Arabidopsis thaliana: one gene and its partners. The protein of the gene in region 3 purifies or fractionates together with the protein of the main gene of each other region. This does not show direct contact. Each region holds a gene or a part of one and is shown on either strand. Other genes may lie near its edges.

What was found.
Region 1: the proteins of AT5G41670 (region 3) and GSA1 fractionate together in Arabidopsis thaliana (co-fractionation; one large-scale study listed by BioGRID). This does not show direct contact.
Region 2: the proteins of AT5G41670 (region 3) and GSA2 fractionate together in Arabidopsis thaliana (co-fractionation; one large-scale study listed by BioGRID). This does not show direct contact.
Region 4: the proteins of AT5G41670 (region 3) and AT4G17830 fractionate together in Arabidopsis thaliana (co-fractionation; one large-scale study listed by BioGRID). This does not show direct contact.

What each region holds. Positions count from the first base shown.
Region 1 is NC_003076.8:25,450,210-25,454,612, forward strand, and holds GSA1 (glutamate-1-semialdehyde-2,1-aminomutase), read left to right. Parts: upstream 1-1,590; 5' UTR 1,591-1,747; coding exon 1,748-1,930; exon of another isoform or gene 1,931-2,083; coding exon 2,084-2,902; intron 2,903-2,988; coding exon 2,989-3,411; 3' UTR 3,412-3,636; downstream 3,637-4,403. Other genes in the region: FACT (HXXXD-type acyl-transferase family protein), read left to right, coding at 180-1,025. UniProt on the Arabidopsis thaliana protein: Transaminase converting glutamate 1-semialdehyde (GSA) to 5-aminolevulinate (ALA). Involved in the biosynthesis of tetrapyrroles.
Region 2 is NC_003074.8:18,047,861-18,056,254, reverse strand, and holds GSA2 (glutamate-1-semialdehyde 2,1-aminomutase 2), read right to left. Parts: upstream 6,685-8,394; 5' UTR 6,559-6,684; coding exon 6,382-6,558; intron 6,124-6,381; coding exon 5,950-6,123; intron 5,873-5,949; coding exon 5,228-5,872; intron 5,128-5,227; coding exon 4,705-5,127; 3' UTR 4,477-4,704; downstream 1-4,476. Other genes in the region: SWEET11 (Nodulin MtN3 family protein), read left to right, coding at 1,592-1,643, 1,778-1,814, 1,918-2,128, 2,231-2,392, 2,488-2,607, 3,154-3,441; DCF (HXXXD-type acyl-transferase family protein), read right to left, coding at 6,960-7,820. UniProt on the Arabidopsis thaliana protein: Transaminase converting glutamate 1-semialdehyde (GSA) to 5-aminolevulinate (ALA). Involved in the biosynthesis of tetrapyrroles.
Region 3 is NC_003076.8:16,662,399-16,671,147, forward strand, and holds AT5G41670 (6-phosphogluconate dehydrogenase family protein), read right to left. Parts: upstream 4,774-8,749; 5' UTR 4,713-4,773; coding exon 3,249-4,712; 3' UTR 3,222-3,248; exon of another isoform or gene 2,628-3,221; intron 2,572-2,627; 3' UTR 2,276-2,571; downstream 1-2,275. Other genes in the region: AT5G41680 (Protein kinase superfamily protein), read left to right, coding at 5,721-6,800; AT5G41685 (Mitochondrial outer membrane translocase complex, subunit Tom7), read right to left, coding at 7,021-7,248; AT5G41690 (RNA-binding (RRM/RBD/RNP motifs) family protein), read right to left, coding at 7,728-7,845, 7,958-7,981, 8,087-8,175, 8,275-8,392, 8,473-8,540, 8,710-8,749. UniProt on the Arabidopsis thaliana protein: Catalyzes the oxidative decarboxylation of 6-phosphogluconate to ribulose 5-phosphate and CO(2), with concomitant reduction of NADP to NADPH.
Region 4 is NC_003075.7:9,912,247-9,920,957, reverse strand, and holds AT4G17830 (Peptidase M20/M25/M40 family protein), read right to left. Parts: upstream 5,146-8,711; 5' UTR 5,043-5,145; coding exon 4,707-5,042; intron 4,502-4,706; coding exon 4,242-4,501; intron 4,166-4,241; coding exon 4,057-4,165; intron 3,981-4,056; coding exon 3,842-3,980; intron 3,760-3,841; coding exon 3,684-3,759; intron 3,604-3,683; coding exon 3,481-3,603; intron 3,391-3,480; coding exon 3,237-3,390; intron 3,131-3,236; coding exon 3,097-3,130; intron 3,016-3,096; coding exon 2,909-3,015; 3' UTR 2,771-2,908; downstream 1-2,770. Other genes in the region: AT4G17840 (CAAX protease self-immunity protein), read left to right, coding at 768-1,242, 1,356-1,507, 1,594-1,689, 1,769-1,831, 1,923-1,991, 2,081-2,183, 2,266-2,337, 2,417-2,505 and 1 more.

The DNA of each region.
Region 1 (4,403 bases), 8.8 Mb from region 3:
TATCCTAATTGACGTTTTTCCAAGATTGTTGTGTGATTGTCGACAAAATAAATTTTGGACATACTCGTTTTTTTTTGGGCAGTACATTCGAGTAAATACGATTGAAGAAATCATGCATTTTTAGTTGATCGAATACATTGTATACGATGCTTCCATACAAATTTTGGTTTGTTTGTTAGGTGACAAATTTCAAGTGTGGAGGGTTCGTGCTAGGACTAGGCATGAACCACAATATGTTCGATGGTATCGCAGCCATGGAGTTCCTCAACTCTTGGGCCGAGACGGCTCGTGGCCTTCCTCTCTCCGTTCCACCTTTCTTGGACCGCACACTTCTCCGACCACGAACCCCACCAAAGATCGAATTCCCACACAACGAGTTCGAGGACCTCGAAGACATCTCCGGCACCGGAAAACTCTACTCCGACGAGAAACTCGTCTACAAATCCTTCCTCTTCGGACCCGAAAAACTCGAGAGGCTTAAGATCATGGCAGAGACGAGATCCACGACTTTTCAAACCCTAACCGGGTTTCTGTGGAGAGCTCGTTGTCAAGCCTTAGGGCTTAAACCTGATCAACGGATCAAGCTTCTCTTTGCTGCAGATGGAAGGTCGAGATTCGTTCCGGAACTTCCTAAAGGATATTCCGGTAACGGGATTGTGTTCACTTATTGCGTTACAACGGCAGGTGAAGTGACTTTAAACCCTCTTTCTCATTCAGTGTGTTTGGTCAAAAGAGCCGTTGAAATGGTCAACGACGGTTTCATGAGGTCAGCGATTGATTACTTTGAGGTGACTCGAGCTAGGCCGAGCCTAACGGCAACACTTCTGATCACGTCGTGGGCAAAACTGTCGTTTCATACTAAGGATTTCGGTTGGGGTGAACCGGTTGTATCTGGACCGGTCGGTTTACCTGAGAAGGAAGTGATTCTGTTTCTGCCATGTGGTAGTGACACGAAGAGTATCAATGTGCTGCTTGGACTTCCTGGCTCGGCTATGAAAGTGTTCCAAGGGATTATGGATATATGAATCATTAAAATTATTTATGGTTTAATGTTTGAATTTAAATTAACTATGATTTAAAAAGCAAATAATGATGATATATCAATTACGTGTTTGTGGTCGTATGAAATATTGTTCGTCGGTGGAGCAAAAATGTAACTAAGATGTTAAAGTATCAAGTTTAATAAAGAAAGCTATTGTGTTTACTAAAATGTTGTTTGGTAAGAGCTCAAATCTTTGATTTTCTTCTTACAATACTTTTTCTGACATAGAGATCAATTACAACCTACAAGTCACACCTTACAAAATAAACTTATCACACATAGCAAAAATATTATCACGAAAATTAAATCGTTAGAATTGTCTTTTTTTGATCAACGATTTGTCTAAATTCTGAAATTTTATGGTTAAAAGAAAAAAATCATTTGTAAGATTATTTTTACATAAACCAAAATAGTAAAGCTTTATATTCGATCGTATTTGAGTAACAATTTTTAAATTTCACACAAATTCCATGCTTTTGAAAAGCACCAAATTTAAACGTATCATAAATCAATTTAACCCAATATTTTAAAATAAATTAAAATATTTGACTTGACTTTCGTATTCGGGTCGGATCCACCCGGATTTGACAAATAAAAACCCGGTGGTTGGCCATCGCCTTATCTTGTTGACTCTTCTTCAATCATAAGCCCACCCACTTCGATTACCAACTCCGACCGCCAGAGACAGCGAGTTTCAGATCAAAGATGTCGGCGACGCTTACAGGATCGGGAACTGCTTTGGGGTTTTCGTGTTCCTCGAAGATCTCGAAAAGAGTTTCTTCTTCACCAGCTTCTAACCGATGCTGCATCAAGATGTCTGTTTCCGTCGACGAGAAGAAGAAAAGTTTCAGTCTTCAGAAATCTGAGGAAGCTTTCAATGCTGCTAAGGTAAATTGATTTCGTCCCACCGATACTTTTTGATTCTGGTTGAAAATTTTCGGAAAAGATCAGATTTTGATGGACTTGACTGAATCATGCCTCTGTTTTGCGCATAGAAATGTGATTCTGAATGTTGAACAAATGGTGTCTTTTTCATGATAGAATCTAATGCCTGGAGGTGTGAATTCCCCTGTTCGAGCATTCAAATCCGTTGGTGGACAACCTGTTTTGATTGATTCTGTTAAAGGCTCAAAAATGTGGGACATTGATGGAAATGAGTATATTGACTACGTTGGCTCTTGGGGACCTGCTATTATTGGCCATGCTGATGACGAGGTTCTTGCGGCTCTAGCTGAGACGATGAAGAAAGGAACAAGCTTTGGTGCTCCTTGTCTCTTGGAGAATGTTTTAGCTGAGATGGTTATATCAGCTGTTCCCAGCATTGAAATGGTTCGGTTTGTTAATTCTGGTACTGAAGCGTGTATGGGTGTGCTTCGTCTTGCCAGAGCTTTCACTAACAAAGAGAAGTTCATTAAGTTTGAAGGGTGTTATCACGGTCATGCTAACGCCTTCCTTGTTAAAGCTGGTAGTGGTGTTGCCACTTTGGGGCTACCGGACTCTCCAGGTGTCCCTAAAGCAGCTACTTCAGATACTTTAACAGCTCCGTACAATGATCTTGAAGCTGTTGAGAAGCTCTTTGCTGCGCATAAAGGGGAGATTTCTGCGGTAATTCTCGAACCTGTTGTTGGTAACTCCGGATTCATCCCTCCTACTCCGGAATTCATCAACGGTTTACGCCAGCTTACTAAAGACAATGGTGTTCTTCTCATCTTCGATGAAGTCATGACTGGATTTCGTCTAGCCTATGGTGGAGCCCAAGAATACTTTGGAATCACGCCTGATCTAACTACTCTTGGTAAAATTATTGGTGGGGGTCTTCCCGTGGGAGCATACGGTGGTAGACGTGATATTATGGAGATGGTAAGATCTGGCTCTAGACCTTTAACAAGCTTCAAAACTAGGGGTGGCCATGTACCAATGTTGCTATTCTTTTTTTTTTTTTGTAGGTTGCTCCCGCTGGACCAATGTACCAAGCCGGGACTCTAAGTGGTAATCCGCTGGCAATGACTGCAGGGATTCACACGCTGAAGCGGCTAAAGCAGGCAGGAACATATGAGTATTTAGACAAGATCACGAAGGAACTAACCAACGGAATCTTAGAAGCCGGAAAGAAAACCGGGCATCCAATGTGCGGGGGTTACATAAGCGGTATGTTTGGATTCTTTTTCGCAGAAGGACCGGTTTACAACTTTGCAGACTCAAAGAAGAGCGACACAGAGAAGTTTGGTAGGTTTTTCAGGGGAATGTTGGAAGAAGGTGTTTACTTTGCACCGTCTCAGTTTGAGGCCGGGTTTACGAGCTTGGCTCACACTCCCGAGGATATACAGTTAACAATTGCTGCGGCTGAGAGGGTACTGAGTAGGATCTAGAATGTTCCCAACCCTGAGTCTAGTTTCACAATCTTCATGTTTTGGGGACGATGTGTATGGTTTGATGAGCGGATGGAATAATTCTTGTGTAGTGAGTTGAATTTTGTTTCATCAGTAGAGCTTGAGATTTTTTGTATTTTAAGATCATCTGTTAATGTAATGGTTTTATGTTATCTCCTAAAGAAATATTGCTTTTAATACCAAACCGATTTGCCTTTCCGATTATTTCTGAGTACTATGAAGAATTCAGAAATGCATATAGATGGATGAAAATCGCATTGCTACTCAAATCGACATATCGCAGCAATGTTTTGGAATGAGTTTTGGATGTCTTTAGCTTGCTGAAACTAAATATATTTGAGAGCGTCAAGGTGGTGTAGCTATTGCAGGATATTGATTGGACCTAAATCTCTCTGTTGAAACCAAACAATTTCCTTAGAGAACAAGAAAGAAGAAGTGGATGATAAGGATTGGGTTTTAAGAATTCAGGAGTAAAATTGTAATCTAATCTCTCCATTTTTGTTAGTTTTGTACATTTTAAGTAGTCATGCTATATGTTGGAAAAAAGGAGTAGCCATGCTATATACCTAATTTATACAAACAATTGTGCTACAACTATTAAGCACAGTTTTTGTAGAAATATGTGTTATTATTAATGAATGATTCAAACATGATTTTTCAACATGTGATTGATGTAACCTTTTTTTGTTGGCAGCCTTGTGATTGAGGTAACCGTTGACAAAAAAGCTCAATTACCTAATCTTATCAAGAATAGAATGATAATTTCAAAGGAGAAAAAGGGCTATTCGAAAATCAAAAGCACAATGACACAAACGTTTTTTTTTTTTGTAATATTTGATAAAGGGATCGGATCTGAATACGGGAGTATGTGTTTACTTTGGTGGTGGTGATGTTTTGAGTATACTATTTGTTTTTTGTTTTTTTTTGATAGGAACAGTTTACCCTATTCAGACAAGACATGTGACAAATAC
Region 2 (8,394 bases), on a different chromosome or scaffold from region 3:
GTATATCTATATATAACTAAACGCACAATAACTTAAAATATAATTTTTCGCTACACATGCAAATTGATTTTGCAAGGTATATAGTCATTCAGATTGATCATTTGTAGTTACTTGGTTGGTTTTAAATTAGCAACGAAATCACGTAAGCGTCAACATAAGGAAACATGTAGAATAAAAGTGAATGAACTAATCACTAATTAAGAAAAAATATTAGTTTAAACCAGTGTTTTCACGCCCGACCCGAACCGTCCGGTCCGACCGGTTAACCCGTAATCCGAACATTTTTCCGGTTTGGGTTTAGTGCTAAAACCCAACAAGTTCAAAACCGAAAAAACCCACAAAAACTCGCAATTAACCCGTGACCCGGTGAACCAGTTGAACCGGTCGGGTGTGGGTTTTAAAAAGTTCTCTTGATTTTACAATAAAATATGGGATTTTAGACTTTATTCAATTATTTTTAGAAGTTTTTTCAGTTCTTAAATTCATTTGATGTTTTAGATTTTGTTGATGACTTTACAATACCGCCTTAAAATTGAATCGAATGGTGAGAGAGACAACCGAGATTAGTTGTTTTAATTCACGATGTTTTATTAATTTATTTCTGTCATTGATGATCTCCTAATATATTTGTTACGGTGTTAGACATTTATTGGATTTCAAATTTTTAACCACTTTATTATTATTGTTTGATTTTTTCTATATATATATATATATATATATATATATATTTGGGTGTAAATGATTTTATATTTTGTTAAATATAATATAATTTTATATTTGATTAAATATGATATGATTATTTTTGTTTTATATTTATAAATACTACAAATTTTTTTTATTATAAAATACTCTAAAATTTCTATTAGTATTAAATTTATTAAATAAATTTTAACTAATTAACCCGTGGTCCAACCCGGTTGACCCGATGACCCAGTGACCCAGAAGATAGTCCGGTTCATCGTCCGGGTCGGGTTTCAAAACATTGGTTTAAACCGAAGTTGGCAAATATACTTATTACGTTGTGTAAATAAGTTAAATAATAGGATTGGTGAAAACCCTCAAAATCGTAAAATGATTAGGTCATAATTATGTCATTGTATATATAGAGAATTAGAGATGCATACGTAGAATCTAGACATAATCCTTAAGAAAATAGCTTGCCTAAACAGCTGAGATTGACAAGCATTATTAACATAACTAATTATGTTTTATTTCTTAAGCCAAAACCTAAAAAAGGTTATTTGGTAACAGAATTGTTATTTGTACGTCAAAATGTATATGATTTGGTAATGGTTTAGCGTGTGAATTATTGTTGCGGGTCTTTTTTTGTTATACAACTACAATGACATTAACGCTTTTTAAAATAAATAAGAAATTCAAACATTATTCAAAATATTATTGTTCACACAAACATTTCTCCTTTTTCCATCTCCCACACAAACCCCATTCCTCCCTTTAGCCCTAACCCCTATATATACGTGAAGTCCCCGAAACACTAAGCTCGTGCCATTAGCTTTTACATTAAGAGAAAACACTTGCAAAACTAAGTGCTATCTCTCTTCTTCTTCCTTCTCCTAACAACTTATATACCATGAGTCTCTTCAACACTGAAAACACATGGGCCTTTGTCTTTGGCTTGCTCGGTATGATACTAACGTTGTGTTCATTTCTTATGAATATTTTTGATCAAGTTCTGCAACCCTAATATCTAAATTCTAGAGATTTAATATCGATTTCTTAATATCATATTTTTGCTATATTCTTGTATAATTTTCAGGCAACCTTATCTCCTTTGCCGTGTTCCTATCTCCTGTGTAAGTAATATATATGCAACAAATCAGAATATATATGACTACGTTACATCAATATTCTCCGATATAATTGAGTAACTAATATTCAGTTTTTTTTTGGACGCAGGCCAACGTTCTATAGGATTTGGAAGAAGAAGACAACAGAAGGGTTTCAGTCTATTCCTTATGTTGTGGCGCTCTTCAGTGCGACGCTTTGGCTTTACTATGCGACACAGAAGAAAGATGTCTTCCTCCTCGTAACCATTAACGCCTTTGGTTGCTTCATCGAAACCATCTACATCTCTATGTTCCTTGCCTACGCTCCCAAGCCAGCTCGGGTAACTAATAATTAATCCTCAGTTCATATGACATGCATGTTACGTTGTTCATAACATTATTCAAATGAAGTTGCTAAATAAAACATTTCTTAATGGATGCAGATGTTGACAGTGAAGATGCTACTTCTTATGAACTTTGGAGGATTCTGTGCGATTCTCCTTCTTTGCCAATTCTTGGTAAAAGGAGCCACACGTGCTAAGATTATCGGAGGAATCTGTGTCGGATTCTCTGTTTGTGTTTTCGCTGCTCCTCTAAGCATAATCGTAAGTACTACGAAATAGCTAATTTACCAAGTGATTAAATTATGATTTGGTAACAATAATAATTAACATATATATTTTTGTTTAATTATATATAGAGGACGGTAATAAAGACAAGAAGTGTGGAGTACATGCCCTTTAGCTTATCCTTAACCCTTACCATCAGTGCTGTCATATGGCTCCTTTATGGTCTTGCTCTCAAGGACATCTATGTTGCTGTAAGCCATTTCATCTCTCTCTATTTGCTATAATGAATATATATGTTTTAACATGATTATCATGTCGTCAAGCATCATAATCATATGTCTATCATTATCATAACAGTATATTACATGAAGTGGGTGCTTTTGTTTCTAATGAACCTGAGACTTTGAGGTTCTAATCATAGATTCATAGATAAAAAGAGATATGGATTGGCAAAAGATAAAAAAAACGATTAATGAAAGCAAAACCTTTTGTTTGGTATCGTCCTTTACGATAAAAATAAACCAAATTATAAAGAAACTCTCGCTTTATGTTCCACAGAAACATTAAAAGATTTAGCTTTTGCAAAAGAAGTTCATAATATATTAAGTTCTTTTTATCTTTATTGTTACATAGAAATTATATTTTGTACGTAACTTCTATCGATGCCGCACAAGTTTGCCATAAACTTTACTTTATTTCGTTTTTAACGTACTTTATTCACAAGCTAGAAAGTGGAAAAGTGAGTATATTAAAATGTTATTATGTTATTGCCACTACAACAAATGTTTTTCGTGCAGTTCCCGAATGTGCTTGGTTTTGCTCTCGGTGCACTCCAAATGATACTCTACGTTGTCTACAAATACTGTAAAACGTCGCCGCATCTAGGAGAGAAAGAAGTCGAAGCTGCTAAGTTACCGGAGGTGAGCCTCGATATGTTGAAGCTAGGCACAGTTTCATCCCCTGAGCCAATCTCAGTGGTTCGTCAAGCGAACAAGTGTACCTGCGGAAATGATCGAAGGGCTGAGATTGAAGATGGACAAACCCCTAAACATGGCAAGCAGTCCTCTTCCGCAGCAGCTACATGAATAAAAATACGTTAATGTTGACTTTACCCCAACTTGATATACCAACCACCACGTGTACCCCGTTACGCTGTCGTATTTTTCTGAGTTTATCAAGTGTGCGAAGTAGAGGATTAATTTTCCGGAGTTAGTTTCTCTACTTCTTTATAAAAATTTGTGTAATTATCTATTGGGGATAATGTATATTTCCTATTTTCTGATTTAACGAAAACTATTTAAAATATCCATCATGATTCTGTCTTTTTTTTTTTTGGTCATACTTAATGTTTTCTGTTTATTTTAAGGACATAATATTAATAATATACGATAAAGTTTTCTAATTATGAAAGATAATATTTGACTTGAGAATTAACGTGGTCACATTACTCTTCGGATATAACCAAAAAAAACAAAAAATAGAAAAATTTAAAAAATGTTTCAATACAGAAAATATTGGCATTATCAATCATAAATTCTTTTAACAAAAAATATCAATTATAAATTTTGATTGGCCTAAGTCAAGGAGTATTCATATTTTTAAATAAATAAAAAGGAATATTTTGTATGGACTGAGTGGGCCAAGTCTTTGTCTAAGGCAAGTAATATTGGATCACTTCCTTACTGGGCCTTTCCAATTTCAAATAATTCCAACTCAATTGTGTCCGAATTAGAAAGAAAGTTCGAATCAGCTTGGTCTCCAAAACATCTTCACATAATCATCAGGATGTTTCTTGTTCATTCTTTAAGACAATGAAAAGCAGCTCGGTCGGTTGGATTGAACAAACTACAGCTAGAAGCAAAGATGTGAAGAAAGAAAAATGCAACTAAACATATGAAAGACGTAACCTTGGGAAGTAGGAGACTAGTGAAACTTTCTCGTTGGATGGACTGTGTATCCACTTTCTAGGTCGTCTTAGGTCGGACAAAGACATAAATGGGCAAGGGAATCTATAGAAATGTGAAGAAAACTGAATATGGAAGCTTAACTTTGCAGATGCACTTCCCTTGTTCCGTGGAGAAATATATCGTCTTATGACTCAGATTATGATGTTGGCTACATGATGAAAAAGTGTGTTGCAATAGAAATCATTCTGTGTGATTTGTAAGACGTTAACGCAAAGCAAGAACTCTTTTTAAAAAGTCAACAAATCTTCATAGACATTTTGACTTTTCTTACCACAGTTAAATTTTGTGAGATTGCTTGCTTGCTCTCAATTGAATCTAATTTTCTCTACATCAAAAAATTTCAAATACATTCATGGTTCCCTGGAAGCTTCCAGAGACATTTTAGAGCCGACTTAGAACCTTCTCGGCCGCTGCGATAGTGAATTGGATGTCTTCTGAAGTGTGAGCCAAGCTAGTAAAACCGGCCTCGAATTGAGAAGGTGCCAAGTAGACACCTTCTTCCAACATTCCTCTGAAAAACTTTCCAAACTTCTCTGTATCACTCTTCTTTGCATCCGAGAAATCATAGACGGGTCCTTCCGTGAAGAAGAAACCGAACATCCCGCTTATGTAACCGCCACACATCGCATGCCCGGTTTTCTTCCCGGCTTCTAGTATCCCATTTGTAAGCTCTTTTGTGATCTTGTCTAAGTATTCATATGTCCCTGGCTGACTTAACCGCTTCAGCGTGTGTATACCCGCTGTCATAGCCAACGGATTACCACTTAGCGTACCAGCTTGATACATCGGTCCTGCGGGTGCAACCTGCAAAAAGACATGAGTGATAAAGGATCAGGACTTTCTCAATCTCTTGCAGCAAATTCAAAAGATTATTCGGTTCAATTGTTAACAACTCTAGCTTTACCATTTCCATGATGTCTCTTCTTCCACCGTATGCTCCCACAGGAAGACCACCACCGATGATTTTCCCAAGAGTTGTTAAGTCAGGTGTGATTCCAAAGTATTCTTGAGCTCCACCATAGGCTAAACGAAAACCAGTCATGACTTCATCGAAAATAAGAAGAGCACCATTGTCTTTAGTGATCCGGCGTATTCCCTCAATGAACTCTGGTTTAGGTGTAATAAAACCCGAGTTACCAACAACAGGTTCAAGAATGATGGCAGCAATCTCTCCTTTGTTTGCCTCAAAAAGCTTCTCAACAGCAGCAATATCATTGTATGGAGCTGTTAAAGTATCTGAAGTAGCTGCTTTGGGGACCCCAGGCGAGTCAGGTAGACCCAAAGTAGCTACACCACTACCTGCTTTGACAAGGAAAGAGTTTGCATGACCATGATAACAACCTTCAAACTTGATGAACTTTTGTTTCCCTGTGAAGGCACGAGCAAGACGTAGCACACCCATACATGCCTCTGTACCGGAGTTAACAAACCGAACCATTTCAATACTTGGAACAGCTGAAATCACCATCTCAGCAAGAACATTCTCTAAGAGACAAGGAGCACCAAAGCTTGTTCCTTTCTTCATTGTCTCAGCCAAAGCAGCAAGAACCTGCACTAGACACATCACCGTATCAACTACTAAACTTTCAGCTATCTAAAAATCATCAAAACTGGAAAGAAACAAACCTCATCATCAGCATGACCAATTATAGCAGGTCCCCAAGATCCAACATAGTCAATGTATTCATTTCCATCAATGTCTCTTATTCGTGAGCCCTTTGCAGAATCCATCACCACTGGTTGTCCACCAACAGATTTGAAAGCACGTACAGGTGAGTTCACACCTCCAGGCATTAAGTTCTACACAAAGGAACCAAACCAATTTCAATAATCAGAACAGAATGAAACCAATAAAAACAAAAACTTTATCTCAGATTATGATTCTATCTCAAGTAATCTTATTTTGTTAGCAATGTTCCTTGAAGGGTAACAAAGATAATCACTTTAACCAAAAATATGATCAAATCCCACAAAACCAAAGCAACAGAACATCAAGGCGTAATCAATCTGAAGAAACATTTCTTATTGACTGAATTCATGGAAATTGAAAAGCCTAACCTTCGCAGCATTGAAAGCTTCCTCAGATTTCTGAAGAGTGAATTTCTTCGTCTTCTCCTCTACCGAAACCGACATCTTGATGCAGCGACGGTTGGACGACGAAGAAGCTCTCTTAGAGAACTTTGCGGAGCACGAAAACCCTAGAGCAATCCCTGATCCAGTAAGCGTCGCAGCCATTTTGCTATATCTCTACGTTTCTCTGTTACTCTCTCACTTGCGCTCGTAAGTAGTACAGAGATAGTCAACAAGATAAGGCGGAGATGATCTTCAGATTTTAGATGGAGCCGACCCGGTGGTTTAAATTCAGACCCGATCCGGTTTGATTTTACTGGAATCTGAAACTCAAGTCAATATTTGTTTGTTTGACTTTGTTAACCAATCCGGTTTCTTTGACCCGATCCGGTCCGATAACTTAATTTGACATATATATATTTTCTGCGAATTACATAAATTTTTGTAATGGATACAAACGTGAATTCAAATATAACATGTATAAATAATGACTAGATTATAATTTTCCTTTGCTTATAATTTGGTAGAATATATCATAATTTGATTATGAAAATGTATGTTCTTTTTCAGATCTTCATAAGCTCTTCAAACACTTCCATAGCTGAAGTAGGAAGGCCAAGAAACACATTGATACTCTTCATATCATCACCACTTGGTAAGAACAAGATCACTTCCCTCCCTGGTAAACCAACCGGTCCAGAGAAAACCGGTTCTCCCCAACCGAAATCCAGTTTATGCAATGTCAATTTTGACCAGGATGTAATCAAAAGTGTCGCGTTCATACTCGGCCGTGTCCGGTTCACCTCGAAGTAGTCCATAGCCGACCGCATGAAGCCGTCCGTAACCAGCTCCACCAGTCTCTTGACCAAACCCACCGAGTGAGAAAGAGGGTTCCCAACTAATTCTCCCGATGATGTCACCAAACCGGTTAACACAATCCCGTTCCCGCAATATCCTTGCGGGAGACGTGGGATGAATCTTGACCGTCCATCCGCCGCAAACAGAAGCTTAACCCGTTGGTCCGGTTTAAACCGTAGAGCTTCGCATCTTGATTTCCAAAGAAACCCGGTTAAGGCTTGAAATGTTGATACCTTATTATTGTTATTTTCTTCAATCGCCATGATCTTGAGCTTCTCAAGCTTTTCGGGTTCGAAAAGAAATGATTTGTAGATGAGTTTTTCTTCATCGTAGATTTTTCCGGTGTCGGAAATATCTTCAATTTCGTCGAATTCATTGTGTGGGAACTCGATTTTGGGAGGGTTTCGTGACCGGAGAATCGTACGGTCCAAGAATGGTGGGACGGATAAAGGAAGACCCTTGGCCATCTCGCACCACGAGTTGAGGAACTCCGCAGCGGCGACTCCATCGAACATGTTGTGGCTCATGCCTAGTCCTAGGACAAAACCCCCACATTTGAAATTTGTCACCTGAAAAAAAAAACGGAACATAAAACTTTATCTAAAGATGTTAAAAAAAATCCATGCAACATTTTAGAATGAATCGATACCAATTTAAAGAAATAGGAATGAAATAATATACATTTAACTTAAGTACTACCTATTGGTTACACACACAAAAAAAAAAAACTTACTATTGATCGTCGTTATTTCTTTTGGTTACTTAACAATACTAATTACGCATGGTTCTAATTAGATGGTCTAATGTACCTTAAAGTTTGAACATGATGACCACTCTAGTTTTTAAGAGTAACGTCTGATCATTTGTTACTATATTAGTGTGTGTTCGTTACTACATGCATGAGACATAAAAATGATTTTTTTAGTAACATTGTATCATAATTCATAAATGATATTCGGGAAAAATGTCTTTCAAATTTGGGACGATTTAATTTTGAACTTCACGGAAGATAAATAAATCGTAAAGTTTTTGTTGACTTTCGAAATAAATGACAAAGTGTTTGTTGACTTGCCATTTGAGTCATGTCGTTAAATAGGTTAACAGAAAAAATTTACGGCGTTAATGTCTCGTTTATTTGCTCTG
Region 3 (8,749 bases):
GATGAAGTTCAAAGATTCAAGATAAGTACCTACAAAATCTTGGTCACACATAGCCTTTCTTTCATAGCCTTTTCTCTATTATTAGGCTCATGTATGTATAATACGTACACAGAGCAATATACCAAATCATATAATTAATATGACTATATACTAATGTATATATATGTAAAGAGAGAAGGAGAATATCGATGACATAAAGTATCATTATGTAATGACCAACTTGGTAAGATGCATCTTTATCTTAATTATAGTAATATTATTTAGCATATAAACTTGTACTTTGATGTTCCAAATTGAGCAGTCGTTTGTCTAGAACATGCAGCTTCGTAAACCATAAAGTTTAGTTTAGTTTTCTGCATTAGTTAAGGTTCAAAACCTGTTTTTTTTTTTTTAACAAATGTATCACACATAAATCTTTAGTTGTTAAACAAATGTATCACACATAAATCTATCTATGAACCATCAAACTGAAAAATAATTGGTGGATATATACATTTTGATTTTAATATGAAGACATTATAAAGAAAAGAAAAAAAATCGTTGCATATACTTTTTCTTTTCTTGCTTATACACATATATCACACACAAAAAAATTCATAAGAAAAATCATAGAAAAGAAAACCAATAACATATTAAGTTGATTATCTTTAAGTCGTTTGAAATATTTGAATTGAAGTTTGTTAGATCTCATCTTTGATCGCTATGGCAACTCTTCTCATGTATTGTCAAACTTTGTTGAGTTTGTGTCTCTATCTTTGTATCATGTTGTATGCTTCGTTGTTCTAATCTTTCGTCTTGCATGCACATCGGATATATCTAAGGATGTTTATCTCGATCGATTGTAATTGCTAAATCATGAATGAAAGTTTAGTTGTTCGGAAAATAACCCCAATAAGATAAGATCGACGGCGTTTTTAGAAAGAAACCATATTATAGCATATCACAAAACCATAACATACACCACATAAATAATTAATATATTAATCTTTTCACTTATTAGTTGTTTTTAGCTTTATGAAAAGAAGTAATACGAATCTATATTATATAGGTTTAAATGACATCTTATGTACATTGAACTTCAACAAGTACAAAAAAACATTGAATCGTGTCCCGTAAAGTGTAAATTCTATGGAAGTGGTAACATGGTTATCATCATCTAATGTCTCTCCAACTAATTAAAAAGTATAATTGATATTAAAATATGGATAATATATAATCATAAGAGAGTCGATTCATATTGGAAAAAGATATATATAGACATATGACGAATTTGATGTAATTATTAATATCTATAGAATTTTGATACTATTTCGTCTGTTCCTGCACCTAAATGCGCCATATCCCATACATCTCCATCTAGAACCTTTATAGAAAAGAGAATAGATTCAAAATTATAAGACTTTAAATTTTTTGAGATTGGAAGAGTTATAAAAAATGATTGGATATCCAATTATATCACATCAATAGAATCAATTCCATTTAGCATAGCTAAAGTTTCTTTAATTATAGTTATTATTTAACAAATGTCGGCAATGAAAATAGTAATATTTACCAAATTATTTCGGCACAATTGAACGAATTATTTATGGAATAAATTCTTAGATTCAAGAAAGAGTTTATTATCATGAGGTAGGGAGACAATATAATGTGGGGCAAGCATCCAATAATTTGTTGATGACAATTGGCAAATAACAAACACAAAAATTAGTATAACTAAATGTATTTTTTTGTAATTGTTGTTAATGTGTAATTATGTATTAGAATATCAGTTTTATTATACTATGTAACGTAAACATAGACACTAACTTTTCTAGCGATCGTTAAACTCATAAAAGATCGAGCATGTCCTATTTTTTGAACTAGAAATTAAAGAGAATCGTCCTTATGTTACAACGATTGATTAAAGTACTAATCCATTTTTCATGAGATTGCTTGCTAATCTGATCAATTTTTTATTTTTTTTTAATATTCGAGTAAATTGGTAGAGAGTGAATTGTTTTCTTCGAATTTATCATCATATATACGATGAATTTTAGTAGCTGAAACATAGTGTATATTGTTTGTCCAATCAATATACCTTTGTGTTATTTCATTTGTCTAATCCAGAACCACATGGGCCATATTTTCCAGGAATCTTTTGTTTGTTTGTAATTATTGAAGCAACAAATAATTCATTCCGTGGAAAATAGACTAAATCTGATGACTCTCACCGCAACATCAGAATATCACATGATGAATTAGACAATAATATTCACGAATTTCTATTGTTTAAGGGCTCAACTTCGATTTCACTACTCCAAAAGATTACATAACATGTCTGGTTCATCAGCCGTTACTGGAGACTATTATTATAACCACAAAGGACAATCAGAACGTAACCAGGTTACAGGGGAAAGAGAAACTACCATGTAACCTGTCAGACAAATGTTATTTGCGACTTAATCCCGCGTTGCAAACTATATCCGAATGTCCAAGAAATTTTGAGCAAGGGTTTTAAAATGTCCTGACGGAAGGGTTGAAGAACATGCTGCATCAACGAACTCGATGAATCACTGACTACATTTTGGGCATCTGTTTTGAAAATTACTTCATTACATTTTGAGTGGAAATTTGTGTTGTTTTACGGACAACAAACTTATATAACAAAATATTATTAGACAAGTAAGATTTGTTAAACTACCTATAATCACGAGAAGTAAGATTTGTTAAACTACTCACGAGATCAGTTATCTTATTATGGGTTTAGCTGTGTCCCCCGTAAGATAATTGTACTTTGGTTGGGTTAATTATATTGCTCTAAACCCAACAAGACGTTTTATGACAAATAATGGGCTCTTTCTCTAATAGCCCAATCCGTTTTATTGTTCAGTTTTGGCGCCATTTAGACCGGAAAAAAATTCGTCAATTTAACGAGCAAGAAGACTACAGAAGAATTATGAAGACTTCAGCTTCCAAAATTTCAACATAGATATCAAATTCAAATTCGAAAAATGAACCAAGCCATACATAAGAGAAAATAAAGGAAACTCTCCAGATATCATCAACAGACAGATACAGAGAGTCAAGGGGCATTGCATTTCTTATTATAACTCAACAAAAATAAGCTGAAACAATTTGTTTTCGTGTTCTATGATGAAATAAAGCCCTACACAACAACATGGAAACATTGAATTCAGAATAAGCACAAAAACAGAGTGTGAGAGAGAGAGAGAGAGAATAACCTCAAATCAAGGGACTGTGTCCATGCTTTACTGACTCTTCCTTGCAAGCTTAGTCCATTCAGTGTGGTATGCACCAGGACGATCGGTTCTCTCATATGTATGAGCTCCAAAGAGATCTCTCTGCGCCTGAACCAGATTCGCAGGTAATCTAGCACGCCTGTAAGTGTCGAAATACGCTAAACTTGCGCACATTCCTGGTGTGCTAATCCCAGCAGATATAGCAAGACCCACCACTCTCCTCCATGCAGCTTGCCTCTGAACCATCTCTTTAGCAAAATCAGGATCAACCACTAAGCTCGCCAAATTCGGGTTTCTCTGGTAAGCTTTCTTGATCCTGTCCAAGAAAACCGCCCTGATAATACACCCACCTTTCCAAATCCTAGCCATTTCACCCAAATTCAAGTCCCAACCTTTCTCTAAACTCTTAGCCCTAAGCAAATTCATCCCTTGAGCATAACTACAGATCTTAGAAGCATACAAAGCTTGCCTCACATCATCAATCAACCTCTTCTTATCAACACCACGAGACGCAGAACCGATATCCTCCTTCAATCCAGCTTCTTCCAAAACTTTAGCAGCATTCTCCCTCTCATCCTTCAATCCACTCAAGTATCTACAATCCAACGACGCAGCAATCGTAGGCGCCGCAACAGAAAGCTCAGCCGCCTGCTGAACCGTCCATTTCCCTGTACCTTTCATACCAGTCTTATCCAAAATCTTATCCACTAACTCTCCATCACCATAATCATCCTTAACCCTAAATATATCCGAAGTAATCTCAACCAAGAAACTCTCAAGCTCACCTCGATTCCACTCCGTGAAGATCTCAGCCAATTCATCATTACTCAATCCACCAACGTTCTTCAACACGTCATACGCCTCCGAAATCAGCTGCATATCACCATATTCAATCCCATTATGAACCATTTTCACAAAATTCCCAGATCCACCTTCTCCAATGTATGTAACACAAGGACCATCTTCGACTTGAGCAGCAACTTTCTCAAGAATATCTTTAACATTGTTATACGCAGTGAAAGATCCACCAGGCATAAGAGAAGGACCATTACGAGCTCCTTCTTCACCACCGGAGACTCCCATACCTAAATAAAGCAATCCTTTCTTCTCAGCTTCAACGATTCGTCGCTCTGTGTTCTGATACCACTCATTTCCACCGTCGATGATACAATCACCAGGCTCCATGTATTCAGAGAGAGCAGAGATGGTTTGGTCAACGGGAGCACCGGCTTTGACAAGGATGATAACGGATCTAGGCCGTTGGATCGAGAGAACGAAATCGCGAGGCGAGTATTGACCAGCGACTGGGAGTTTTCCTTCGTTGGAGGCACGATCTAAGGTTTCGTCGACTTTGGAAGTGGTTCGATTGTAGACGGAGATTGGGAATCCTTTATCGGCGATGTTTAAGGCGAGGTTTTGTCCCATGACTGCGAGACCGGCGAGACCTATGCGAGATAGAGCGACGGACTCCATTGTTGCGATATGAAGAGAGAGAGAGAGATAGTGGTTTAGGGTTTTGACGGAGGTTGGTGGTGATGGGGGAGAGAGAGTGGCGGAGATATTTATACGGTGAAAGTGACGGACTCGTCGATGGAGCCAAGAGACAATCAAAAGGCTGACTTAACAAACTGGTGAAGAGTTTTTGTTAGGTGAAGATGACGCTCTTTATTTACGACGCCGTTTTCGTTTCTTTAGTTATATAATTATGTAACTTTCGGTTTGGAATTTTGATTAACCGAGTCGAATTGGTCCGAACCAAAGTAAACCAGTTTAAAATACGGTAAAATTAGAAAAAACATAGCAGAGCCAGGTTTCGATCCTGGGACCTGTGGGTTATGGGCCCACCACGCTTCCGCTGCGCCACTCTGCTTTGTTGATACTTTTTTCTTATTTATAAAATATAAATACATACAAAAGGGAAAATGTAAAAGAAAAAATCCATTTTGGTAATAATCAGTGTTTTGGGTGGGAAAATCTAATAGAAGAAGAAAACGACCACGATGTGTTTGCGGCTAAAACCATGCTTATTCACTTAAGATAATACTATAACGAAGATTTTTTTGCCGGCTTAACGACCGGCGTATCTTTTCTACTCGCATTTAAAAATGATTAGCTATATACTAAAATACAATTTTCTTCTGTTACAAAAGATTCTCTGTTCCATGATAGAGACGAAACATTTTTCAACAATGGCTGAGATGATATATATTTGGCTTTTCTGCTTCGAGAGGAACAAGAGGAAGAACCATTTGCTTGACTTCTTGAGAAGATTCAGAGTTTCTCCGTTCTCTATATGCTCTCCATCGGAAAGTCAATATAACCGGCTCTCGGGCCCATTGGAAAGAGCATCATCCTAAGCTCTCTACCAGGTTTGACCAAGCTTATAGCCTTGGAGAACATTTGATTTCGATCTTGACGCTTTAAATTACCTCTACAAGTGTTTGCTTTCCTGTTGAACATTCTGGGTGCAATCGAGCGGAGATGATGGCTTGTTGCTTGCGAAATAAACGGCGCATGAAAGGTAAACTCTCATGGAAGTCAAAGAAGAGAGATTTGTCTCATTCAGGAAACTGGGCACCAGAAGATGACAATGATGAAGGGAAAATCGTTTTCTTTGGAGGAAGTAACTATACCTTTGATTTGGATGATTTGTTAGCTGCATCTGCAGAAATTTTGGGGAAAGGCGCTCATGTTACAACCTACAAAGTAGCTGTGGAAGACACAGCCACGGTAGTAGTGAAGAGATTGGAGGAGGTGGTTGTTGGGAGAAGAGAGTTTGAGCAACAAATGGAGATCGTTGGTAGAATCAGGCATGATAATGTAGCCGAGCTTAAAGCCTACTACTATTCCAAGATCGATAAGCTCGCTGTTTACAGTTATTACAGTCAAGGAAACCTATTTGAGATGCTGCACGGTAAGCTATCTTTCTGTATTCCGTTGTCTATGCTTCTTTGGTATGCAGTATCGAAAACCAATAACTCAACTTTTGCAGGAGAGAGCCAAGTACCTTTAGATTGGGAGTCCCGTTTAAGAATCGCCATTGGTGCAGCAAGAGGGTTGGCTATAATCCACGAAGCAGACGACGGGAAGTTTGTCCACGGTAACATCAAATCCTCCAATATCTTCACGAACTCGAAATGCTACGGCTGCATCTGCGATCTCGGCTTAACACACATCACGAAATCTCTCCCGCAGACTACCTTACGTTCTTCGGGTTACCACGCACCTGAGATAACAGATACAAGAAAGTCCACACAGTTCTCTGATGTATACAGCTTCGGGGTGGTGTTACTCGAGCTTCTAACAGGGAAATCACCCGCGAGTCCGCTATCACTAGACGAAAACATGGACTTGGCGAGCTGGATAAGGTCAGTGGTGTCGAAAGAGTGGACAGGAGAAGTATTCGATAATGAGCTAATGATGCAAATGGGTATAGAAGAAGAGTTGGTTGAGATGTTGCAAATAGGTTTGGCTTGTGTTGCCTTAAAACCTCAAGATCGACCTCATATAACACACATTGTAAAATTGATACAAGACATTCCAACAAACTTCAATCTTTAAAGCAATTCCCAGATTTTCAAAACATAAAATTCGATTTCACATTATATCATAAGCTAAAGTTATTCAATACAGTACCATAGAGAAAGTATTCAAAAACTAGCTAATGAAAAAAGCATAAAAGAAGATTCGGCGAATCTAAGAACACGCGTAAAGATATGAAGAAGCCAAACCAGAGGAAGACCGATTCGATTGATTTAGGTTGATGATGAAATTGGATGGATCAGACAGGGCTAAGGAGCTGGAAGAGATGAGGTTTGGGATCGGAGTTCATGCCGACGAAGATGACCAGAGGGATGAAGCCATAGTGAGTGACGACTTTAGCCTTCTTCAATGACCAATTGGTCCATTCCTTAACGACATCAAACTTGGATTTGTCATCGGAAGAGGAAGCTCCCTTTGATCCTTTGCCTTTTCCTTTGTTGACCTTCAACGATATTGTAGACTCCATTGATTCCGATCTCAGAGTTTCTCTCGATTGCGGAGATTTTGTTTTTGCTCGAATCCGAAAACCCTAAAGGACCTTTACAAAAGTTAGCGGTGAAGTCTCTGAATGATATAGAGGGTTCTAACCGACCTTCTATTTTTAAAAGTTAACATTTTTCCTAATTACAAATTTGGCAAATCTTATTGGGTAAAAGAAGATAGTTTTAAATGTTACTTTTTTTTACTGTGGCATAACTCATAAGAATACTCATAAGCTTCGGGTCAAGCTTACGATTTTGTCTATGTACAAAGGTTATAGTAAAGCCAATGTCTAGGTCTTGAGTTACCACTACTTTTTTACTTTGGTGAAAGATACGAAAGACTGAATCAAGTTGAGACTGTATTTGGTGTCCGAGATTATGGTTTTGAGTTTTGACAAACAAATCAGTTAAAATAGTATACTGTATACGGCACATAATAGTGAAGGCAGATAATGATTTAATATCAGAACATATGGTCTTCGTCGTCGTAAGAGAAGATAATCTTCTTACCGCAGAATTCGGTCCTCTCGCTCAACATCTCATATTCCTTCTGTTTCTTCAGAAGACTTTCTCGTTCGTGCCTGGAATAAAAAAAAAAAAAAAACCCATTGTAATCTCTCCTTGTATACCACAAACTTCACCCAATGTGCTATTGACAACAATACTCGAAAGGCAAATAGTTAAATCCCTTACCAAAGTTTCTCTGCATGGTTGTACCTAATTAACAAAGAAAATAAAATAGCATTAATCTTTTGTAATGACACATCAAAACTATAGAGATAATTTAGAGAAACTAATCTCCATATGGAAAAAACAATTTACTTGGGTCGGAGAGGGTATGGAGCTAACTCAACCACGTCAAGAAAAATCTCACGACTGCGCAAATTTTCACCATTCATCTTTTGCAGCGCCTATAGTACAAAATATTTGATTAGTTTTCGTACTTTCGAAATACACTACTTTCGAAATGACTACAATACTTTTTTATCATTACTATAAACTACTCTCACCTTCTGTGCTTCGTTAACAGAAGCAAACTCAACAAAGCCACAGCCCACATGCTCACCCCTGTGGTTTACAATAAGTCGAACACGAACAACTTCTGCAACATCTTTAAAAAACTTGATGCTGTAAAAATGGATGAAAAAATATCCGTCATGAAAAACTTGCTCAAAGAACGAAAGAGGAAATTAAAGGTTGCTACTTACATATGTGATATTTTAGTTCTGGGTGAGAGATTGGCAACAAAGAGCGTCTTTTTTCTTACGGCAAATTCCTGTATTTAACAGCCAACTGTGTTAGCACGACTCTAAGGAGTAAATGACTTCAATTTGCATATCAACGAAAGGTCGATTTATCCCCAAAATAAGTCATCTTTCTACTTTGTGGCAACAGTTCTGTTATTAAACGTTTCCTCTGAGCCTGAAGATAATAAGAAGAGGTACCTCAACAAGAGCGGGAGTGTCATCAAGTCCTTCCTCTGTC
Region 4 (8,711 bases), on a different chromosome or scaffold from region 3:
TACCATCTCCCTGAGGTGTTCGTGGTGCTCCCTCCCAAGACACTTGTTTTTAGAGTTTTTTTTTTTTTCTCTTTCAGAAAACCAAGACATATTCTTTATGAGAATTTCCCTAGCTCATACACTCCATCAAAGTCATTCTTCTCTTTCAAACATACTTAAGATCCCTCTAGGCACAACTCTTGTGTATCCTTTTTCGTAGGATAAACTTCACATAATTAACAAAACCCAACATTTTCTTGTGTAAAAAAAAATACGAAGAATGTTACATATGTTGTAATAGTAACGCCTCCCAAAAGAAACACCTTATGGGAAACCCACATGATACATATGTTATACATGCTCAGTCTCATTCATATATGTTAAGATGTCAAGCAATGGATATGAGTCTCATTCTGACGAAAGCCCATTAACTAAAACTATGGCCCATTTTATGTGCTGCACAAAAACGAATGGGTAACGTGTAGACATGCAAAGTGGTACAAATCAAAATCAATGATCAAGGTAACGTAGTCAAGTTCAATTACTCTTTGTCAAATTTAAGTGGTCTCTATTACTAAACTATACACAACCGTTAGATCAAATAATTCTCTACCATCCAACGGTCCAAAGTCTCCACTTCTATTTATTACAATAAAATGAGAAAATAAAAACGCGCGGTCACCGATTCTCTCTCGCTCTCTCTGTTACTAAATGAAGAAGAGAATCTCTCCGGCGAGATCACCGGCGTTATTCCGATAATTTCGCCTGAGAGTTGTCGCATGTTATAAATGGGTCTTCCTTTATTGTCTTGTAGTTCCACAAGAGTCACTCTCTCTTCTTCTTCTTCTTCATCTTGGTGTAGTAGCGGAAGCGGTGGATTTAGGAGTAGTTCTAAGCTTTTCGATTCTCCGGCGTGTTCGAGATCGGATTTGAAGAAACGTAGCGGGAAGAGAAATTCACGGTTAAACGGACTTTCGTTAGAGAAATTAAGGTCGATTAAAGCATCGTCGTCTTCCGCTGGACAGAGCAGTAGCGAAGTGATCGACGACGGAGATGCGGCGGCGCGTGGTTTAGCTGTTACTTCAGGAGATGTAACGTCGGTTGGAAGTTTCAGTAGCGGCGAATTTGTTGGTGCTGGTAGTGGCGGTTTAGCTGGACCTTCAGGTGAGGTTACTTCCGTCGGCGAGTTTGTCGGCGGAAGCGGCGGGGATTTTAAGGATTGGGATAAGATCGGTGCTATTGTTAGGTTGAGTTATGGAATCGGTGAGTCACGAGATGATTGAGCAACTTCGAAAAAGAAGTTTCCTTTATGAAATTTCAAAATTGAAACTTTATTTAAACAATGATTTTGGATTTGGTGATTTGGGAAAATATAGGAATATATTGTGGAATGGCAGTAGCAGGAAGATTCATATGTGAAGTAGCAGGAATAGATTACACAGGAGGTTTTAATGCTTCTTTAGATACAATTATCGCTGGACTTGGTTATGCTTCTCCACCTATTATGGCTCTTCTCTTCATTCTTGATGTAAGTTAGTAGTGATAATGAATGTCTCTTTAAATGGCTATGAAGGTTTGGGGTTTATGAGAAAGATTTGGTTGTTTATTGTATAGGATGAAGTTGTTAAATTGTCGCCTCATGCTCGTGCCATTAGAGATGTTGAAGATGATGAGCTTCGAGGTTTCTTTCAAGGAATGTCAGCTTGGCAGGTGAAGAACCCTCAACACAGAATCTTATTGATTGAATCTTTGAGAAAAAATGTTAAACCTTTGTCTTGTGTTTCTTTAGTTTATCTTAGTAGTTACTGCAAGTTCAGTTGGAGAAGAGCTCTTCTATCGTGCTGCGTTTCAGGTTTTTGCCTTCTAATAGTCTTCAATTGTTTTGTTTCTCTTTCTGTTTTAGGTATGTGAAGTTTTTCGTGGTTTTGATATTGTTTTGACAGGGTGCACTAGCTGATATATTCCTAAGGGGCACAGATCTTATCTCGGATTCTCGAGGAATGGTTGCTTTGGTATTATAGATTTTCTGTTCTTCCTTGTCTCCTTCTTGTTCCTTGAACTCGTTTAAGTGTATTTGACTTTTAATTGTTTGAATTTTCAGACTGGACTCTTGCCACCATTTGTACCATTTGCTCAAGTATTTGCAGCCACTATTACAGCCGCTCTCACTGGTTCTCTCTACTACATAGCTGCTTCCCCTAAAGGTTTCCTTCTACACTTAAAACATTTCTCTATGTTACAAAACCTTTAACCTCATAGCTGATTTTGTTTTGTTATTTCTCTTAGATCCAACTTATATAATGGCACCGGTCTTGAAAACTCGCTCTGCCCGAGACGAGCTGAAGAAGTTGTTTGCAGGTTCGTAAAACTCAGTTTAGCATAAGGATTTAGATATGTTCACTATCACACACTAAGGATTCTATGTTCCTTTTTGCAGCGTGGTATGAGCGAAGACAGATGAAGAAAATCTACTCTCCTCTTCTTGAAGGGCTTTTGGGTCTATACCTCGGCTTTGAATGGATTCAGGTTTTTACTTCTTCTGTTCACGCATTTCTTTTTTCGACATGTCGTAGTAAAATCGTTGATACCAAACTGAAAATATTGCAGACAAACAATCTTCTTGCTCCTATCATCACACATGGTATATACTCAGCCGTTGTATTGGGTAATGGTCTCTGGAAACTACACCATCATCAGCAAAGACTCCGGCTACGTGTTCAGAAACTTGAAACTGAAGGTGACAACAACTCAAGATAGATAAATAACTGTATAAAACATTATCCTTTGTTTTAAATTTTGTAAAGTGTCTGAAGTATTGAGCCACCATTGACTTGTACAAATAGATAGAAGCAAAGTAAATGTATAGAACCATTTAGTTAATAAGAGAGTAGCTATGTGAAGCTTTTATTTTATGATCTTCCATCTGATTTTATACTTGTTCAAGTTGAGAAATGATCCTGATGAAGACATCAAAGCCTTGGCACATGTCTGTAAGAAGGCAGTATTCGTTCTTTGCATGATATGTAGCCATGAGACCTGCAACAAAATTAAAATAGATAAGGATCAAAGATGAGGAAATTCAGCAAAGGAGAGAATCCGAGTTGGGTTTTGTAATACCGTATCCTGAAGTTTGCACATCAAAACCTTCATCCTACAAACCAAGAGCATGATTCATTGGTTTAGAAAGAGTAAGTTGTAGAGAACTCTGAAAGATCAGTCTTGAGTCTAGTTAAAGTACGGTTTATCAAATGGTTTACCTGGAGGTCTCGGATTAGAGGTAAAGTACCGGTGATCGAGTAAGGCTTCACGTGTCCAACAACTTCTTCGGTTGCTTTGCATAGAACGTGAAAGCCGGGAGAATCAAGATTACACGCAACTCCAGCTGATGCTTCATCAAAACTTAACGTGAGCCTGCAAGTGACAATTAAGACTTTTTAAGATTTCGGTAGGGACAATAAAATGAGAGAAAGAATAGAATCAGGAGAAGAAGAAAGTCCAAACCTTCCCCGTAAATTCTCATCTGGTAAGACATATTTTGAAACAGGACCACGGGTTTCGAGCCTCTCTATGTTACCGTTTATGTCGTCAACATACTCTTGCAACTTCGTTATCACTTCCTTCACGCTGCAAAAACAACCAAAAAGCCATTAAAGTGTGTCTAAATGCATTGAAGAAACGAGTAAGACAAGTGTGAAGAGACTTACTCATAGAAAGGAGTCAACCTGACATCACCCGAAACAGTACATTCTCCGGGGATTTGGTTGATTCCACCTGCTGGATCTGCAAAACCAAACAATTTATTGTAAGTAGACAACATGTAAAGTCATTAGGCACACAACATGCTATAGATTCCAAAACTTACAACACCACTGTGTTGGCTTCATGGTGGATGGTGTTGCAAAACCATAAACTTCCTCTTGTGGGTGAGGCGGAAAGTCTCTGTAGAACCGAGCTTGGATTTCCTTAAGCCCTTCCATTGCTAACTCCATCGCGTTAATCGCCTTCGTACAAACAGAAGAAAAGATCAATGCCAAGTTTGCAACTTCATCTAGAGTAATCCATTCATATATAAAATACCTTGTGAGCTAAACCGCTATGGAAAAGCTTTCCAGTAAACTGAAGCTTCCATGGTATCATACCCCCAGTTCCAACACACGGCTGCTTATCCGCTGTATCAATCCAATACCTTCAAAAGAATACACATCAATAAGCTTCAATCATCCTTCAATTTTCATCTAAAAACTCCCCAAGAAATTTCTAACAGAATGGAAACTAACAAGGGTCCGGATTTGAGCTTATCAAGAAGTTTGTCTTTCACCAGCATGTCCACACCAACACCAGGAATGGAAGAGTTCTCTTCGCTAGCGATGAAAACCGCCACCACCGTTGATTTCAACGCCGGTTTGGCTTGCCCGAGTTTCTTCATGAGTTCAGTGACAAGAGCAACGTGACCAAGACAATCTGTTGTCCCACGACCACGAAGCTTATCACCATCTATGCTTAGCGAGAAAGGATCAAATTCCTATGAACAAAAACCGAAGTCAACCAGAGAATCCAAAATTCAATGTAACCGATTAAACCCTAGAGTACACAAAACAGAGAAAGCTTTGAAATTTGGAACAATTCAGATCAGTTCATCGGAAATTAAACAGAACCCAGTATCAGATTTTAAGCTAATTCTAATGGGCACCGATCAAAATCACATATTTAGAATCAATCAAAATTACCCAATCATCAGGATTCGCAGTGACGACGTCCATATGCATTCCGACGAAAGACAAGATCTTTCCGGGAACAGATCCTGGGTACTCAACGATGAGATTACCTCTACCTGAATGATACGCGACATGATTGATCACCAGAGGACCACCACCAGTTTCTGTGCTATAAGGACGGAGAGAGTCAAGGACGTGTTTGACGATTAGGTCCTCTTGAGGGATGAGCTCCGGCGGATTGTTCTGGACGAATTTAGATTCGCCTATGAGTTTTGATAAGAGAGAAACGTATGAGTCTTTGTCAAGAGAGCCTATGGATTCGATCAGTGCTTTGGAAGACGAAGCCATTTTTGTTACACCAAAGATGTTTTTTCTTTTGGGGTTTGCAAACAAAACTAATAAGGTTTTGGTCAGCTTGTCTACGAGCTTCGTGTGTTGTTTAAGGTTTTGGACCTTTTCGGGTGGAGTGTTACGCTAATTAATTAAAAAATTATACGGAACCAAATTAATTAATGTACATATCACTATCCTCAACAACGAAAAAGAATTAAAAATCTACAGAAGGCTTTGCTTAATGTTGTTCATGTCTTCTATGGATTCCAAAATGTATTCCTTGGCTTTAGGATCTATGGCAACTCACACAAGCAACATCAATTGGCCACGCATCAAGTAAGGATCTGTTGCAACATCGCTCTGGATATTACCCTATGAAGCATGGAGGATAATATATGACCAATTCTTAAATCCACATCAGTTCAAATAGTTGATAAGTAGGTGCATTCGAATACGATATGGTATGGTCACGTGTTTCGGGACAGCCACACGATTCTATATATATGTGGTTATATCATTAAGTATGTAAGTTATGGATTGAAAAGAAACAGTTGATATCCTATCACTTTCGAAAATATTGCAACCAGGCAATCAATTATCCAAGTCGGTTCATCTTCTTAGTCACATAACTAAACCGAGAGCACACAAACAACGAGATTGACATGGAGCTGATCAGACCTAGCGTGATATATAATGTAATTGTGTTAATGCCGATTTCTGATAGATCCAATCGAAAGCAATTGTGTTAATGCCGATTGAGTTGTTAATATAATTGTAATACAAGTGATCACAGCTTCAACCATATATAAGGGATTGTGGTTGATAAGTTCTCAAAAGGTCTTTGGAAAAAGATATCCACGCTTTACTCAAACAACCCAAATAGACTCTTCTCGGAAAATGACTATATATTAATATTAACTTCTTGGCACATGTGATGATGTGAAGATCCACGAGAGAAACAACTAAACGATTAACTAATGAAATTCGACTATGAAAAAATTAGATTTGTTATTTAATTGAATTATTAGTTTAGTCTAATCAAATAACAATGCTAAGAGGTAAACGACAGAATTCTAAAAATTATACTTCACAATCTAATTATATTTTCACATGATATAGTAATAGTTTTTACTTTTAAAACTCCAACTTTAAATGGCGCCGAATACGTCATCCTTTGTCGCAAATTGCAACCAAAGTTTTTGCCATTTATGAAAACAAAGGTGAAAGAGACAATGGATGATTGATATGGGGATTCGAACCATGCTGAGCAGAAGAAGACAGTATAATTAAAGTATCCTATCTCACTGATTCAATGGACTGTTCCTCTCACAGATACAAAATCCCTAAATCCCTTTTTAATTTCATTTGGTCTTAGCATCAAACATCTGTAATTTATTTGCATGCCAACAAATTCATATCTCAGTTGTGCTTTTACGTACACGAATCTTGGTCGGTATATATATATATATATATATATCTGCTGTCTTCTTCGGTTTGTCTTGCTTCATCTTCAAAGTATTACATTTTCTTTCTTTAGAAGAACCTTAATAAGAGTCGATAACCCTAATAATTAAGCGTCCAAATCGTCACTGGGATCTCTAAGTGAAGATTGTTCTTTTTCTAAGTTAATTCAACCGCTAGAAAAGAAAATCATTTGGGTAAATATTAGAATTAAGTTTGAATATGACCATGCGTTGTAGATATTTTTATTTTTATTTTTATTTTACAATACATATACTATCAATGATTGGTGTAAATTTTAAAAAAGATAAATAGAAAATCTACATGCTATGTCGAAAATATATATTATAAAATAAAGAAAATGTATGATGCTAGCTAGAGATGGTGAGGAAGCGGGGACCAAAACTAGAAGAAACAACATATTGTTATGAATCAAGAGGATGCCCATTATAAGGCCCATTATCTAAGCCCATCATCGAGATGTTTCTAGGGTTTTACCCTTTCCTTGTACTCCTATATAAAGAACCCTTTATCTCAATGGAATAATACACTGATTTCCTCTATCTCTTTCTCTGTTTACAACACGTTATCAGCACGCTCTAAAAGGTAGATATAGAGATTCTTACATTTTTTTTAAGAACCATGTTTACTTATCGACTCATGGTTCATAGTACTTATTTTCTATTATTGAAACAAAACAATATGAGTCGATCGATGATTATAGTATAGATCGGTAAAAGCATGTTTTCAATGATTCAATAAAGAAGAGAATCATGCTTATCATTTGTTTCTATAATTACTATCGCATGATTCAATGATTCTACAAAGAAAATCGTTAAAGAAGAGAATCATGCTTGTTAATTGTTAATCTTTGTGATTTACTATTACAATATTGAATATATAAATTACCAATTTTATAATTATATAACTAATTTTGTAACTATTCATAGCCCGGTGGTGGGTGATGTAAGCATGTATTAATGTTTTAGCATTCCAGTTTTGAATAGTTGCATCTATATTCAATATCATTTTATAAATACTATATTATCTAAAATCCATTTATGATTGATATGATATCCCTTATTTAACTCCTTTGATTAAAACGTTATACATATCTTATCACTTTTAGATATTGACTTTTCCCTATTAAATATTTGATTTCCATATATTTGATTGTGTTATTATTATTTTTACTAAAAACGTTGCAAGATAATTTTTCTTTTTATAAGATTCTTTTCTCTAAATCTTTGTGGTATCTAAAAAAAAAATAAAAAAATAAAATAAAATTGTTCATGGTTTTGCCCTAATTTTGCACGAAATTATTTTACCTAAATCTTACACGAATTCATATTACCCTAAATAAAAGTTTTGTCAAGATATATGTAAAATCCAAATTTTGCACAAAATAGTTTTATTGTGATTGGTTTTACAATATTGCATTAAAATTGTATTAGTATATAATACTTGATTATTTTATGAAATAAATTGATTGATAAATAACTTAATTTAAAGGTATAATCACTTATAGAAATTTTCATGAATGACTAGTTTAATGTATTTTAAGAAAATATCATATTTTTGATGGTCAAAGTTTTTTCAAGAACTTAAATTATCACCAGAAGTTGAGAAAATAATTTTAAAAAAAAAAAAAACATTTCTAACGATGAAATAATCTAGTATATCAAGTAGTATAAAATCTTATTAAAAGATTCTAGAAGAGCATATACATTGTTTTCTATGGGAATACAAAATTAAAATCATCGATGCTGTATAGTTCTCCAAATCTCAAAGTTAATATGATGAGATATAAATACATTATGATTCTAGAGTGGAATTCAATACGAGATGGATGAACTTGAAGTTTCATCATCTCGAGAAAGAGAAGTAATGAATGGATAATAAGTGACATATCCAGAAGATTATGTTCAATCTTTGACTACTAAAGATCTAAAAGTTGTATAAAGCAATTCTTATATGAATGTGTTATTAGATAAAATAAATTATTACTAAAATAAGTTATTACTAAAACTTCAAGACTTGAAGTCTCTTTTTGAATATAACTCACATTGTTAAGAGAATATCTCTGATGCGGAGATGGTAAAACAGACGATTAAACTTTTACGCAAGTATCGTTGTCCTGTAGACACAATATTTGAAAGAAATTTAAAAACTATTATGAACTTAAATCGAGTGTTTTTCAAAGGCTAAAAAAAATATATGAGT